Schizosaccharomyces pombe: one gene and its partner. Changing the gene in region 2 together with the main gene of any one other region gives a genetic interaction. Each region holds a gene or a part of one and is shown on either strand. Other genes may lie near its edges.

What was found. A genetic interaction does not mean that the proteins touch.
Region 1: mutations in ngg1 (region 2) and gid9 together harm fitness more than expected from each alone (negative genetic interaction), as found in Schizosaccharomyces pombe (2 studies listed by BioGRID).

The regions. Positions count from the first base shown.
Region 1 is NC_003423.3:399,536-405,701, reverse strand, and holds gid9 (ubiquitin ligase complex subunit), read right to left. Parts: upstream 3,169-6,166; 5' UTR 3,007-3,168; coding exon 2,779-3,006; exon of another isoform or gene 2,717-2,778; coding exon 2,195-2,716; exon of another isoform or gene 2,145-2,194; coding exon 1,680-2,144; 3' UTR 1,489-1,679; downstream 1-1,488. Other genes in the region: SDA1 family protein, read left to right, coding at 1-1,440; tho4 (THO complex subunit), read left to right, coding at 3,353-3,397, 3,439-3,507, 3,561-3,685, 3,792-3,858, 4,019-4,537; plg7 (1-alkyl-2-acetylglycerophosphocholine esterase), read left to right, coding at 5,018-6,166. UniProt on the Schizosaccharomyces pombe protein: Component of the GID E3 ligase complex recruiting N termini and catalyzing ubiquitination of proteins targeted for degradation.
Region 2 is NC_003423.3:1,581,806-1,590,288, forward strand, and holds ngg1 (SAGA complex subunit Ngg1/Ada3), read right to left. Parts: upstream 6,594-8,483; 5' UTR 6,538-6,593; coding exon 4,882-6,537; 3' UTR 4,787-4,881; downstream 1-4,786. Other genes in the region: hrd3 (HRD ubiquitin ligase complex subunit), read right to left, coding at 298-2,439; transcription factor TFIIA complex large subunit Toa1, read left to right, coding at 3,417-3,434, 3,480-3,581, 3,623-4,612; upstream binding transcription factor, RNA polymerase I specific, Hmo1, read left to right, coding at 7,554-7,583, 7,776-8,483. UniProt on the Schizosaccharomyces pombe protein: Component of the transcription coactivator SAGA complex. SAGA acts as a general cofactor required for essentially all RNA polymerase II transcription. At the promoters, SAGA is required for transcription pre-initiation complex (PIC) recruitment.

The DNA.
Region 1 (6,166 bases), 1.2 Mb from region 2:
TACTTTTTCTTAGGTGCTGACAATCAAGAAGAGGAGGAGGAATCTGATGATGAGGGTCCAGATGTTTCCAAGCTTTTGCATCAAGCTAATGTAAATAAAAAGACAAAATCCCGTGAGGCTGCTTTGCTTCGTGCTCGCGCAGTTGTAAAGAAGAAAGAGCGAGGAAAACAAAACGTCCCCACAAACGTTAACTTTCCGGCTTTACAGCTTCTTCATGACCCTCAAGGATTTGCCGAAGAACTTTTTGAAAAGCACTTGGCTAGCTCAAAAAGCCGTCTGTCAATGGATCAAAAACTGGTGGTCCTTCGACTCCTTACCAGATTGGTAGGTTCTCACAAACTTACAGTCCTAGGTCTTTATTCTTTTTTAATGAAATATTTGACACCCCACCAGAGAGACGTTACTCAGTTTTTAGCATGTCTCGCTCAAGCTTCCCATGAATTCGTACCTCCAGATGCGCTTGAACCGTTAGTTAGAAAAATTGCCGACGAATTCGTTACTTCAGGTGTCGCCAATGAGGTTGTTTGTGCTGGTATTAATGCTATTCGTGAAGTTTGTGCTCGTGCGCCTTTGGCAATGACTCCCGACCTTCTTCAGGATCTAACTGAGTACAAATCTAGTAAGGATAAAGGTGTTATGATGGCTAGTCGTAGTCTCATCACTCTGTATCGTGAAGTTGCTCCCGACATGTTGAAAAGAAAGGATCGTGGTAAGCTTGCTTCTATTGAGATGAAAGATCGTACACCTTTGAAGTATGGTGAGGAGTTAAACGTCACCCACGGAATCCAAGGATTGGAACTTTTAGCTCAGTATAAAGCTGAACACGGAGAAGAAGGAGAAAATGGAGACGATTGGGATAATTGGGAAGTTTCAGAAGATGGACAGAATTCTGATGATAGTGGTGGCTGGATCGATGTCGATAGTGATGACAATATTGAATTAAGTGACAGCGATGAAGAGGAAGAGAAGGCCACTGCAAGAAAAGAATCAGATGAGAAAGGATCTTCTTCACAAAAGGAACTAGTTGATAGAATGACCGAGCTTGCGTCTCAATCTATTTTGACACCTAATGACTTGAAAAAGTTGGAAGAGCTTAGGGAGCAAGCGGGTGTTGATCGTCTCGTCAATGGACCTAAGCGTTCTTTAAAGAGGCCAGACGATGCCGTTGAGGCTGATGAAATTGAAGGTCCTAGAAAAAAGGCTAAGAACGACCGAGAAGCCCGTATTGCTAGTGTCATGGAAGGACGTGAAGGACGTGATAAATTTTCATCTAAAAAGGCAGGTTTTAACCCAACAAGTCTTTCTAACAAAAGAAAACAACGTAACAAGAACTTTATGATGATTAAGCATAAATTAAAAGGTAAAGCTGGACGAAGTCTTGTTCAAAAGCAAAAAGTTTTACGAGAACACGTAGCTCGTGAAAAAAGGAAAATAAAGTAAGATATTGATTACTATATTCGGTTTATGCTTTTCCTTTTGGGGCATCTTATATAGGTATATTTAATTAGGTTTTGGGTTTACATGATTGAGGGATAACCTATGGTAAAGGTGGATACTGGAAGTGAATTTAATAATATAAATTACTATCATTATTAAAGATAAACATATAAATCTCGTAGCGTCATCATAAAAAGTGTAAATCCTTAACTCACAGAAAATGCGTTATAGAATAAACAGTATCAAACCACATAAACTTTACGAAGAAGTTGGAATGGAAACTCTTTGCCAGAATAAGGGTCTCTAAGAAATCCTTCTCTAGTCCCATTAGCTTCGTTCCAACTTATGAGGCTCTGGATACCATAAACTCGACCGTTCGGGAAAGCAACAGGACAATTGTCGCTGTCAAGTCCTTCGCCTGTCAGAGAATCCACTATCGCAGACTGAGTAATATGGGCATAAGGAAGAGCTTTGCCAAGGTCATTTAAGCAGGGCGTACATACAGGGCATTGTTTCACAGTCTGGGATTGTAATGCTAAAGGATTATCATCATTCGCGTCAAGATAACACAACGGGGTTTTCAGGGAAGATAGACCAGCAGCTAACAATGCATGTAAAAGAGGTACAGACGGTATATTATGAACGGCAGTAAAATTGCTGGTAAACAAGGAAGCCAAATATTCCCATCGGTCATCGGATAGAAGCAACTAATTTGTCAGTATAAGCTAAGAGCAGAGGTCTCTCAATGTAAACTTACCGAATATGGTGAACCATTCGTAAATTCAGGAAAAGCTAGTAGGGCAGCCGCTAGCTGTAGTCGAGCAGGATGTTCATTTGCCCAAGTACCGAAGTGCGCTTTGGCGAATGCAATGGCTTGGCAAAGTTTTTTACTTTTTATTAATTCTATAAATCTCTGTAGTCGGACCTCAAGCTCTAATGTACTATTATTTTTTTTTAAAATTGCTCGATGCTCCGAACACCAAGACAAAACCTCTTTGAGCTCCTGTTGAAGAATGGAATCGTGAATGAGCTGATAACGCTTATATATGCCTAAATCAACCAAATTCTCCAACTGAGAGTCTTTACAAAGTAGAGCAGCTGCCCCATGGTACCCATTCGCCATCATATAATCAGCAACTAAACGATTCAGTCTGACTCTTGACCAATCTAAAAAATCCGCAGATTCCATGTCACGAATTCCTTGAAGACGATTCATGAACAACAGTCGTGACTTAGTTTGCTTGATAAACAGAGCTTCACAATCATGCAAATGCTTCATCTACACAAAGAACCATGTAAGTTACAAATATCCAACTCAAAAAAAGAATCAATCAAACTTACCTTCTTCTTTACAGTACTGACTCTTGAAAGGAGAGAATCTATTTTTTCTATTTTTTCATCCATTGATGCATTCTCTTGACTGATCAACGTTGTCAATGTGGAATTGATCACATGCGATTCATGCTCCAAGTGCCGCAAAATGTGTTTGAAGTTAATGCGCAATTGCTCAAAAGAGAGAAGAATACCAGGCTTTTCAAGTATATATTGCTGCTCTGGACGAAAATTCATGTTTGAAGGCAAAGTCTAACAAACTATTGGTAGATGGACCCAAAAATTTAAATCAACTAAAGAATATTGAATATTTTAAGAATAAGAAAGTAATTAGAAGAATTTGTTTAAATGTAAGGAAAACAGCAATTGCAGAAAGACGATGGGTTGTTGGCGAAAGATACACTTTCTAGGACCGTAGTGCAAGATGAATGAAAAATAAGGAGAGCTAAAAAACAATAAAAAAAGAGGTGCATATATTAATTTATGTCAGGAAAATCTGCAATTGGTATGGAAATCTCCTTTTTGGAATGCCCCGGGTTAATTTTTACCAGTCGACATTTTCGTGCCAAGTACCAATTTTCAAATGTCGCTGGAAAAGTCCTTGGACGAAATTATAAATGAAAGAACGGTAAATTTTTTTATTTTCGATATTTGTTTTAACAATCCTAGAATGGTTTTGATCACAAGCACAGTCGGCGAAGGGGATCTCAAAATCGTATTTCCAAAAAATCGCGATTGGTATGCTAATTTCGAGGATTAAGTGTTTATTTACTAATTTTTTACTTTTTAAGACCTACAAATTCAAAAGAGCATCAAAAGAACACAACTCTAGTCCAGACGATGGCCCGTGGCAGCATGACTTGGATCAAGAGCAGGATGCTCATCCAAGGACCACTCACCTACAGAAAAGACAACAGTATGTTTTGAATTTATAAGATAAGCTGTAAACTTTTTTATTACTCTATTAGCTCTTAGTCTACATGCACTGTTATTATCATTATATACTAACACAGCAATCTTAGCTCAGAAAATCGATTTGGGGTTCGTGTGGAAAACTTACATTATCAGGTTTTGGAAAAAGATGTTTTGGTAAGTGATATATGTTTACTATGTTTTCAAAAGCCTCGCTTTTAGTTTTCGATTGAAGATTATGAAACGAACCTGACAAAAAATCTCCCTGTCAAGCTAAGTAGAGCTTTGTTCCGATTTCGAATCGCTTTTTTTATTAATAAACTAACCTTTTCTTAAGTCTTTGTTTGAAAATTTCCATCCAATTCGCGTGATTATGAACTATGATCGTGCAGGTCGCTCTGAAGGCTCCTGCGATGTTTACTTTGAAACTTCCCAAGATGCTGAAGATGCCCAGAAGACGCTTCAATCTACGAACTTGAAGGGCTCCGAAATTCAAATTTCGAAAAAGTCTCCACCTTCCTTATTCGATCGGATTTCCGACATGCCACATTCAGCCCGCAAACCAAGCCGGTCTTCTCGTTCGAACCGAGGATTCAACCGTTCTTCAAAAAAAGACGACAGATCATTTCGTTCTTCTTCAAAAAAGTCTTCTAATAATTCAATTTCACACGAAGATTTAGACAAAGAACTTGACGAATACGCAATGTCATTTCACGCTGCTTCAACTGTGTCATCTCACTCATCACAGGATTTCACACCGTCAATAGCCAATGCTCATGAGAAAAACGAGCCTGTTGCTCCTTCAAAAGATAGTAATTTGACCGAGGAGATGGACCTCCAAATGGAAGCGGTTTAAGCTCGAATTGCTGTGCAAGTAACCCTTTTCCTATGCCAAAAGTTGATTATTGAGTCAATTGCTTTGATTTGTACATTATAAAAACGAACCGGCTAAAAGGACATCTTTCATCATAACCCCTTACTTTATATATAGATGCTCGTCAATTTCCATCGTCTTCCTTCTTCTACCACAATCGTACGAATCGTACCAAAAATTAAAATTTGCAGCAGACAGATTCATATTACCTTGCAAGGCCAAAAATTTATTAATTTTATTTTTTTTATTTATGTTTATAAGTGCTTGTTAACGAAAGAGATATTTTGTTTTTGTTTCTGGCATTATTCCATTCTATTCCTACTACAGTGATCATAGCAATTAACAATACATCATCACTGTGCTCTTGTAATTTGATTGAATCGTTTTTGACACAATCTTTCATTCTTTAAAATAAAATAAATTTATATATTTCTACATTACATTCTTATTTGTTAGGTAGAAATGGGATTGGGATTTTCTTCGAAAAAGCAATTACCTGCCTACTGTGGTCCCTTGCCTGTGGGGTCTTTAGTCTTAGAGCTGAGTGTTCCAGAGGAATTTCGATGTGAATATAAAACCATTGAACACAAACTAAGAACCGTAAAAGTACGCATTTTTTATCCATTGGACCCAACAAAAGATGTAGAGCCTCGCACCGATGAGCTTTGGTTACCATTCCATGAGGGTATACCCGAAGTTGCGAAAGGTTTTCGTTGGTGGCTTCTTCGTGCGTTCGCTTCTGGTTTGACCAACTTAGCTTTGCCCGTCTACAAAGGAGAGTTGTTTCATCCACCGAACAATGGGAAACTGCCAGTATTTATCTTCAGCCATGGATTGGTTGGCTCGAGAAATGTGTATTCTTCGTTATGTGGTACAATCGCTTCCTATGGTATCGTCGTCTTGGCCATGGAGCATAGAGATAACTCGGCCATCATATCTACAGTGCGTGATCCATTACATCCTGAAGAACCCCCGTACGTTGTTCAGTATCGCGAGATAAGCGACTTTTATGCAGACGCTACGGTTGTGCTTCAGAATGAACGACTTTTATTTCGACAGCAGGAAATCCAAATAGCCCTCCAGATGATTCGAAATATCAATGACCTTGGAACTCCGGACGAAAACTTACCCTTTCTTTGCTCTGTGGACTCTTCTTTTTATAATTCTGTTTTCCAATCCATGAAGGGTAATTTGAATACCGCTCAAGGAGAATTGATTGTTGCTGGTCATTCTTTTGGTGCCGCTACTTGCGCATTCATTTCCGGTTCTTCTACCAAGTCCTTATATAATGACTATATGTTTCACACTGAGTTTAAGTGCTCCATTTTATACGATATATGGATGCTTCCCGTACGCCAGCTCCATTTGAGTACGATGAGGTATCCTACGCTCATGATTATATCTTACGAATTTCGTCGGTTTGTCGACAATTTTCAAGCTCTCGAAAGTTGGCTTGTAAACAAGGATTCAGAAAACCAAAACGCAGGCGAATCCGCTGATGAGAAAATGTCTGTCGTTCCTTTAAAAAAATATTCCCACGTGTTTGTTTATGATGGAACAGTACATGCTAACCAAAGCGATTTACCGATTTTGCTCCCTCGCATGGTACTA
Region 2 (8,483 bases):
TTTATATAATTATTAGCATTATACAATAACATGTCTCATTAATTTGAAATTTCTTGATTTTGAACCTTCTGGTTCTAAATTTTTTCTGGAGATATTTAACATTCAAACAACAAAAGTCGATTAATTGGCTGACAGACAACAAATATAGATCAACCAATTGAAAGATGAAAAACAAAATTTATTCAAAGCATGATTTAATCACCGACGAACCCTAACATACATATATTTTTTATTCTGCATCCATCGAGCAACAAAATTTTAAATTAGAACGCAAAAAAATCGAAGATACAATTTTTATTAAGCGCGGTTTTGTCTACGGATGATTCGCTCACGTCGTTCTTGAAGTCGATGCTGTTGATGGCGTCTCATTAAAACCAGTCCGACAACTACCACAATAAGCGTGACACACGCAGTCTCCAAAAACCTTCCATCAATGTAATCATAAGTGAAACGAATATCATTATAGGATTCACCCATCTCTTCAGTATTAGGCGAGGGCAAGGACTCAGACGTTTCTTGAGGGTCAGGTTGTTGTGGTGTACGATCTACTTGTAGTGTTGGTGGTTCTGGGGGAAGTTGTGAGTCCGGACCTGCCGGGCTTAGTATGTCAAAAATATTTATAATAAAATATTGCACAAGCTTCAAAAATTTGTAAGTGACTTTTCCAAGTATGCGATAAATATTAGAAAACCAACTGTCGGGAGAAGAAAGCCTCATTCTTAAACGTGCCAAGGTCACAGCCAAAAATGCTCGTGTATCGTGCATTAAAGCATTATCATAGTTTTTCTTTGCCATTTCAAAATCCACTGGGACACCTACTCCATATTCATGCATCCATCCTAGACGCCAATAAGCCAATGCAGAAGGATGAATGGCAGCCGCCTGAGAGTAATAAGAAAAAGCCAATTCAGGTTTTGCTGAGGTACCCAAACCCATTCTGTAAAAATCTCCAATTTTTATAAGCGAGTGGATGTGATTTCTCGCTGCCGCACGAGAGTAATAGTTCATCGCAATCCGTGCGTTACGATGAGTTTGTTCATTTGTCGGAAAAATGACGGTTTTTAAGTAAGAAGTAGATGGATCTCGATCTTTTGCTGCCAAAATTTGCGACATTAAATTACCGAGCTCGGCGGAAAGGCGATGAGCAAAGTGTCTAGTTAGTGGATCAAAAGAGATGGTCTTAACGTCGAACAATTCCAACACTCGAGAAATAAAGTTTTCATAGTAGGCTATTGACAATTGATTATTGGAACCATAATATATATCAGCAATATGCAATACAGATTCAAGATGCCCATTAGATACAGCTCTTATCAGATGTACTGTAGCCTCATCTATTTGACCATTCGCTAACGACACTTTTCCAGCTACAGCAAAAGCAAGAGGATCATTGCTAGCCAATGCATTCTCTAAAAGTTTTGTGATTGACTCAGTGTTTTCAGCCACAGGATATCCCATAAAGTACATGTAGGCAATCGCAGCCTTAGAGGAAGAATGATTTAAGGATACACCATATTCAAACCACGCATACGCAAGAGATGGATCTGGTTTGCCAAGTTCACCATGTAGAGCCATACAGCCTAACCTGAAAGCTGCAATTGATAAACTGTTAGCAGTTTCTTTCGTGGTTGGCGCATGTCTTGGATTGTTGTGAATACTCTTTATAGCTTCAGAAGGAGAATCTGGAATTCCAGAATTTACTAAACGAATAGCTGCAAGATAATGTTTGACTGCTAATTTTATATCCTTCAACTTACCAGGAGTTCCGTACTGGTAAATCGTAGCAAGGCTTATATGGGCCGATATATTATTTCCACGTAAAGCGTAGTCCTTTAAGTATTCAACGATGTCATCTTTTTTCTGAACACTATAGCTTGAAGTACGTGATAAATCATATAGGTCAACCGGATATTCTGCTGCTATATCAGGAGCAAAATGAGACAAGGGTTGAACTAAGCATGATATTTGATGAGCTACTTGTTTATAAAGCTCAACCCCCTTATCCACAGACATCGGTGTAGAAAGTCCATTAAGGTGCTTATATGCAAGGGCAAGTAAAGCATACGTATAATTTTGGGTGGCCGATAGTTCAAGGAATATTCGAGACAACGGTTCGTTTCGAGGAAACGATAAACCTAAGCGTTCGTCAGGCCCCATGGCGTACAGCATGGCAATTAAAAATTGTGATTCCGGATCTCCTTTTTCAGCTTCTTCATATACGTATCCGGGATCTTTAACGAGTTTCGGAAATGTTAAAGTAACTAAATCAGGAAGCGTTTTAATAGACGCTGATACATTAAACCTCGACCCTTCAGGATACGAAGCCACGAGAATTGGCTTCTTATCAATGTTGTCATAAGAAAATTCACCACCAATTACCGTAAACACGCATCTTTTAAAAATAAAGAACAGACATATAAGGAAGTTAAGCAACTGCATCAAGAATATTACTGAAAGTGTGCCTCTTGTCCGTCCTCCCTCCTAAAAAGAACCGTTCAATTTCCAAAGTGGTGAGTTTATATATCATCGGTGACTCTGTTACCTGAATGGAGGGCTTAAAGAAATAGCGCTGGAAGCTGAATAAGTGCAAAGTTGTTTGAATAACAATAAGCTTGTAAATAGAAGACTGTAAATACATTTACATGGTGTCAGAAATATTCATCCTTCCAATTGTTGTCTGTTGTCTTTTAACCTAAATTTCCAAAATTATCATTTTTTTCTAGCAAAGTTAAAAGAAAATACCTTTTCGGTACTCGTATCTTTATCATAACCTCAAATAAATCATTCAGGATCGCTTTCTCGATAATGATAATACACACCATATTGTAATATAATTTATAATATTACCAGGCGAAGAGTAATAATCGCAAATAGTAATGATATTTCGTGATATCGTCTTATTGTCGTAAAACTCGTATCAAATACCGAATATACAGGTTATTTAAATCTTTCATTCTCAAGCCGATTTTATTTGAGCTAAATATTATGTTAGTATTGTTGCTTTACCAAGCACCTTTACTTAAAACAAATCATTTTACTTTAAATTTACAAAATGAAATTAGTTATAGAAAATAAGCTAAATTATCACGTTAGTTTTATGAAAACTTGTGCAGTTAAAAGATATCACTTAATATTGCCAATTTCGGTATTCACAAACTTGAAAAGTCTACAGTAAAAAATTGAATTTTCCACTTTACTAGACATTTAACAGCAACGCAGAGTGATTGATAGCGGCGCATTGTTACTAGAAGTAAGACATGTACTTGATTTTTTATTTACTCGCCTATAATTGTTGTAGTATATTTCTTCGCGTTAGAGAATGTATCGCTTCCTTGTATCTCCTTATTTGAGGCGGCGGTCCACCTACCGCTATTTCTAAGTATCCTTTTACGAACTACGCATCCAACTGCACCACAATGTCCAATTCGATCGTCGTAAGTTAGTATTGTTTTAAGTGTTATTCTAATGTTTTTATCAAGGGTGAGGTCTATCACCACGTGATATTAGACGTGATTGCTAATTCACGGAGCGATTTTGAAGAAAATGGTGTTGATGATGCAACTTTACGAGAATTACAAAATGTACGGTTTTATGAAGTTTAGGTCTTTTTCTAATAAAACAGTTATGGCAAAGCAAGTTAGTTGCTACCGATGTTGCAACTTTTCCTTGGGCACAAGCTCCTGTTGGCACATTTCCCATTGGTCAATTGTTTGATCCAGTTAGCGGCTTGAGGACAGATTCATTAGATGTTACTGCTCCAGCTGTTGCAAACTCTCCCATACTTAATAATATAGCCGCTATTCGTGCTGTTCAGCAGATGGATACATTTGCGCAGCAACATGGTAATTCAAATTATTATTCTCCACCTACTCCCTCTCTCCCCCAGTCAGCAACAAATATTTCGTTTGACAGCTCTGCAATACCTAACGTACAGTCCAACCCTAATAATACTGCCCCCTTCCCTTCTTACAGCTCTAACTCATTGCAACTGCCCACTAATCAAACTGCTGACTCACCGATTATCAACGACCATTCGACTGCAAATGTAACTTCTACGGGCCAAGAACATGCTCCCGACTCTTCATCTACTAACTCATTTGGCGGATTGTTACTTCCCAATCAAAACTCTCCGAAAAAGTCTGAATTAGGAGAGACAGAGTCTTCTAATACCACCCCTGCTAATTCTCGTAATGACGTGCCTCAAACCGATGGTGCTATTCATGATCTAGATGATGCTGGGAGCCCTTCTAATTTTGAAAGTAATAGATTTGCTATTGCACAGAAAGCTGATGCTGAAATTTATGAAGTTTTGAAAAAGAATCGCATTTTGCAAATTGACGGCACTATAGAAGATAACGAAGATGAAAAAAAGCCACCTGTTGATACGCCTTCTGACGAAGCAATTAACTCAGATTTAGACGATCCTGATTCAGATGAGGCTCCCGAAACTGAAGAAGGTTCTGATATTGGACAGGCTATCGTTCTTTGTCTTTATGACAAAGTGAACCACCACAAAAATAAATGGAAATGTGTGTTCAGAGATGGCGTAGTTGGCGTTAATGGAAAAGATTACTTATTTTTCAAGGCGAATGGTGAGTTTGAATGGATTTAAAATTTTACTTTAGGTGTTTTGCTTCAAAAAGTGATGGACGTATTTTATCTATCAATCATTCTTCTTTTTGGCCTTTTTGTTTTCTTCATGAATCATGTTTATAAGTGCATTTAAGTAATCTTCCTATCATATTTTAGTGAGCACATCAATCTATTCTACGGTTAAAAGTATTATTATTATTTCATGCAAATTTTATTCACTAAAGCAAGCAATTAAATTAGATCACAATGATAGAATTACAGTATATACACTTTCAAATTTTAAACGCTTCATACAGATGTACTGTAATTAGATGTAGTGTGGTCCGATAAATCATTAAAAATAGAAGTTGGCGAACCAAGGTGTTGCGTAAGCTTATCCTGAAATAAAGGTTGAAGCTTTTCTAACCACATTGAGCGCTTGTCCATCAATGATTTGATGACAGGAAAAGAGCCGCTCGTAGCTGAAGAGCCAATTTTATCAGTAACAATACGTTTCTTTTTAACCTTCAAACTTCTGTTACGTTTGACATACGCTTGTTCGATTTGTTTATCTAGATCATCCATCACATTTTGGAATTCTTGAAATGCCATTTCCTCAGGAAGCATCTGTAACAGCGCATTCCTCATTTTTTCGTTTTCATCAGAAACTACCTTCAAACGAGCATTCAAACTCCTTAAGGTAGCTGAAATTTCATCATCCTGTCGCTTTGACCAATCTACATCGCCATCATAAAGTATACCTAGTTGTTTTAGGGTGTAACGAAGGCGGTCCTCACAAATTGAAAGACTCGACTCTTGTATATCCGGTTGTTCTGTATATTCATTATTTCCTGACTCGATTCCATCAATGCTTGTACCAATTTTGCTTTTCTCGGATCCAGAATCGGTTTCCGCAAATTCGCCAACAGCAATAGAAGGTTTTTGCTCCTCATCATTCTGCGTGTAGCAAGGAATTAATGAAGCCATTAGTCGTTCAGTGAGTGGACCACACCTAACTTCCTCAGAGACGGTATCTGCCTCATTAAAAGCTTCAAGGGATCCTTGAGCAGAGGTTTGCAGGTTTTGGTAAATTGAGTTAGCACACAGGTTGGTCATTTCATCTTCCGGAGTTAAATCGTAATAGCGTTCCCCCAAAGGAGGAATATTATAGGAAGACGAAACGTCAAATCCTTTTTTTAAAAAAGCAATATCATCATCATTGAAAGCACGAAAATATGGGTCAAGTGACGAATAAAAGGTTGATATTGAAATCTGGTTATTTGGCTTGTTGTGAGAAAAATCATCAGTCGCCGGAGTTCCTGCCACCAACGATCGTACATCACTGGTTGGAAAGGAATCTACACATAAAAGCTTCTTTTTTTGTTCATAAGAGAAGGAATCGTCAACAATGAAAGATAGTAATGAACCGGTTAGAAGATCGTTTGCGTTTTTATATACCAACCCAGTTGTCTGTTCATCTTTACCCTTAACCGGTAAATCTAATTCATTCTCAATTGTTTCCACATTTTCGGGACTGATTTCTTCATTATGGGCCTCTGAAACTTTGGGCTTCTTGGAAACTTTTTCTAGCATAGACTCTTGTGGACTTTCGGAAAGAGAACGCTTTTGCTTTATTTCTTGTTCAACGTTGTCTTCTTTAAATTCTTCTACTTTTTCTTCCACTTTATTAACCGACGATTCGTCTTTTGAGGTTTCTATTTCAGAATCGACATGAGACTCTAACTCTTCTTTGCGCTGGCGAAAATATTCTACACAAGACGGTTCACACTCAATCATTTTTTGCAGCTCAAACAGAAGCCGCCATAATGTCGACACAGACGGTACAACACCAGGAGTTGACGTTTCACTCAGACGGGAAAAGGTCTCGTATTGATTTTCAATTTTAAAACATTGAGGAATCACCGCGGGTTTCGAATCAGCTTCATTTTGTTGTTCGGAGGACATCCCAAAAAAATTTAAATCGTGAACAATACAACATTTACATATGTCTCTCTCCCCCGAAAAAATTCATTACTGAGGTGGTGATTTTTTATACCGGATTTCGATGATGGCGTACTTTTAGCGAAGTCTAGTATACCACTTGTTACATTGTTATAACGGTGCTCAGAAATATTAATCAAGAACAGCGTTGAATTGCTACGAATATGATATCTCAAACCAAATTAAACAGCAATATATTTTATTCATAGTGAATCCATCGCAAAAGCAATATGCTTTGCGAAGTATTTTGAACACTATAAGTGATCTTTGGTTTGTTTAAAATTAAATTTATCTTAAATTTAATAGTTTCTAAACCAATTGGTCTAGCGCAAGAACTAGATAAACAGAGTTGCAGCTTCACAAGATATCATGAAATAGATCTACGAGTCAATGGAATAGGATTTGTTTATACTTAATTAAGAGGTAAATATTTACAAGAAAATGTTTTATCATTTTTTTTTTTTAAATTTTGGATGTTTTTATTGCTATTCTTTCCATTTATGGGACATTATTTGACTGTAAGTCTCAGCAAATTTAGTGGATTGAGATTAGAAAAAGAAAAAAAAAAAAAAAAAAAAAAAAAATTTTTCTCGGTTGTAGATTTTCTCATATTTTCCTATTATATATTTAATTTACTACAATTGTCTTTTGTAATTTTCATTATATCACTCAACAGAATCACATGAAGAAATATCTCACTGAACCATCGTAATTTCAACAATAACAATTGTCACATATATTAAATAACTATAAACTGTAATAATAATAAAATGTGAAGAAAGCTCAACCGAACTGGTGGGTTTAACTGAAGCAATTTCATCTGCTTCGCATTTCCAGCATTAACCAACCACCCACCGTCATAACCGCTAAGATTTAAATTCCCGCCATCACCCCGGTAGGTCAGCCACCATTTCCTGTATTTGCCATCGTATTGAAGCTTTAGTTGTATTAGAAACTTTGAATATTTTTTAAGTAGTACGATGGCTCAAAACTCAACCCAACTGGAAAAGGTATGTGATATTTTAAAGAGTTTTGGTGTTTTGAACCAACATAATGTTTTATGATTCAAAAAATTGATTTAAATCAAGTATTTACTAAAAATAATCTTTTTTAATTGGTTGAAAAGTTTGATGATTAAATGCAAAATTTTCTTTAGTTATCCGCTTGGTTTTTGGTTTTTATCTAACAAATTGCCGTCTTAGATTTCTGGTTCTTTCACAAGGTTGGCGGAAGCTTTTCAGTTAGCTTTAACCGCATGCCGTGAGATCGAAGAATCACTTCCTTCGATATTAGGAGAGAAGTCCGAGGTTTCGAAACCTTTTAAGCCAGCCGTCACTGATCCATCAAATGCGAAGAAAGAGATTAATATGGCAATTGAGTCTCCTTCTAAAAAAGCAACTTCACCTAAGAAAGCTACTCCTGCAGCAGTAGCTCCTGTTGAGGCAACCTCCGCAGTCGATACGTCGGAAGCTGTAGCCTCCATGACCCCAAACAAGCGCAAGGCTAGGGATCCTGCACAACCAAAGCGCCCTCCATCAGCCTATAATCTCTTTCAGAAGAACCAACGATCGGAAATCAAGGAGTCTTTGGGCGAGAAGAGTAACGATGTTAAAGAGGTGAATAAAGCGATGCATGAAAAGTGGGGCTCGCTATCTGAAGATGATCGGAAAACTTACGAAGAAGAAGCTTCTAAACTTCGAGAAGCCTACGAAGAAGAAATGGCTGCTTATAATGCTTCTAAAGAAAATGCGTCAGTTGCTGATAGTCGAGTTACGGCTGAGGAAACTTCTACTAAACCTTCAGAAGACTTATCCTCTCCCACTAAAAAAGATTTGATAGACTTTTCAGAAACCAGACCATTGGCTCAAGCTTCTAGAGCCACTCCTGACATTAAAGAACAGCATGCTAAG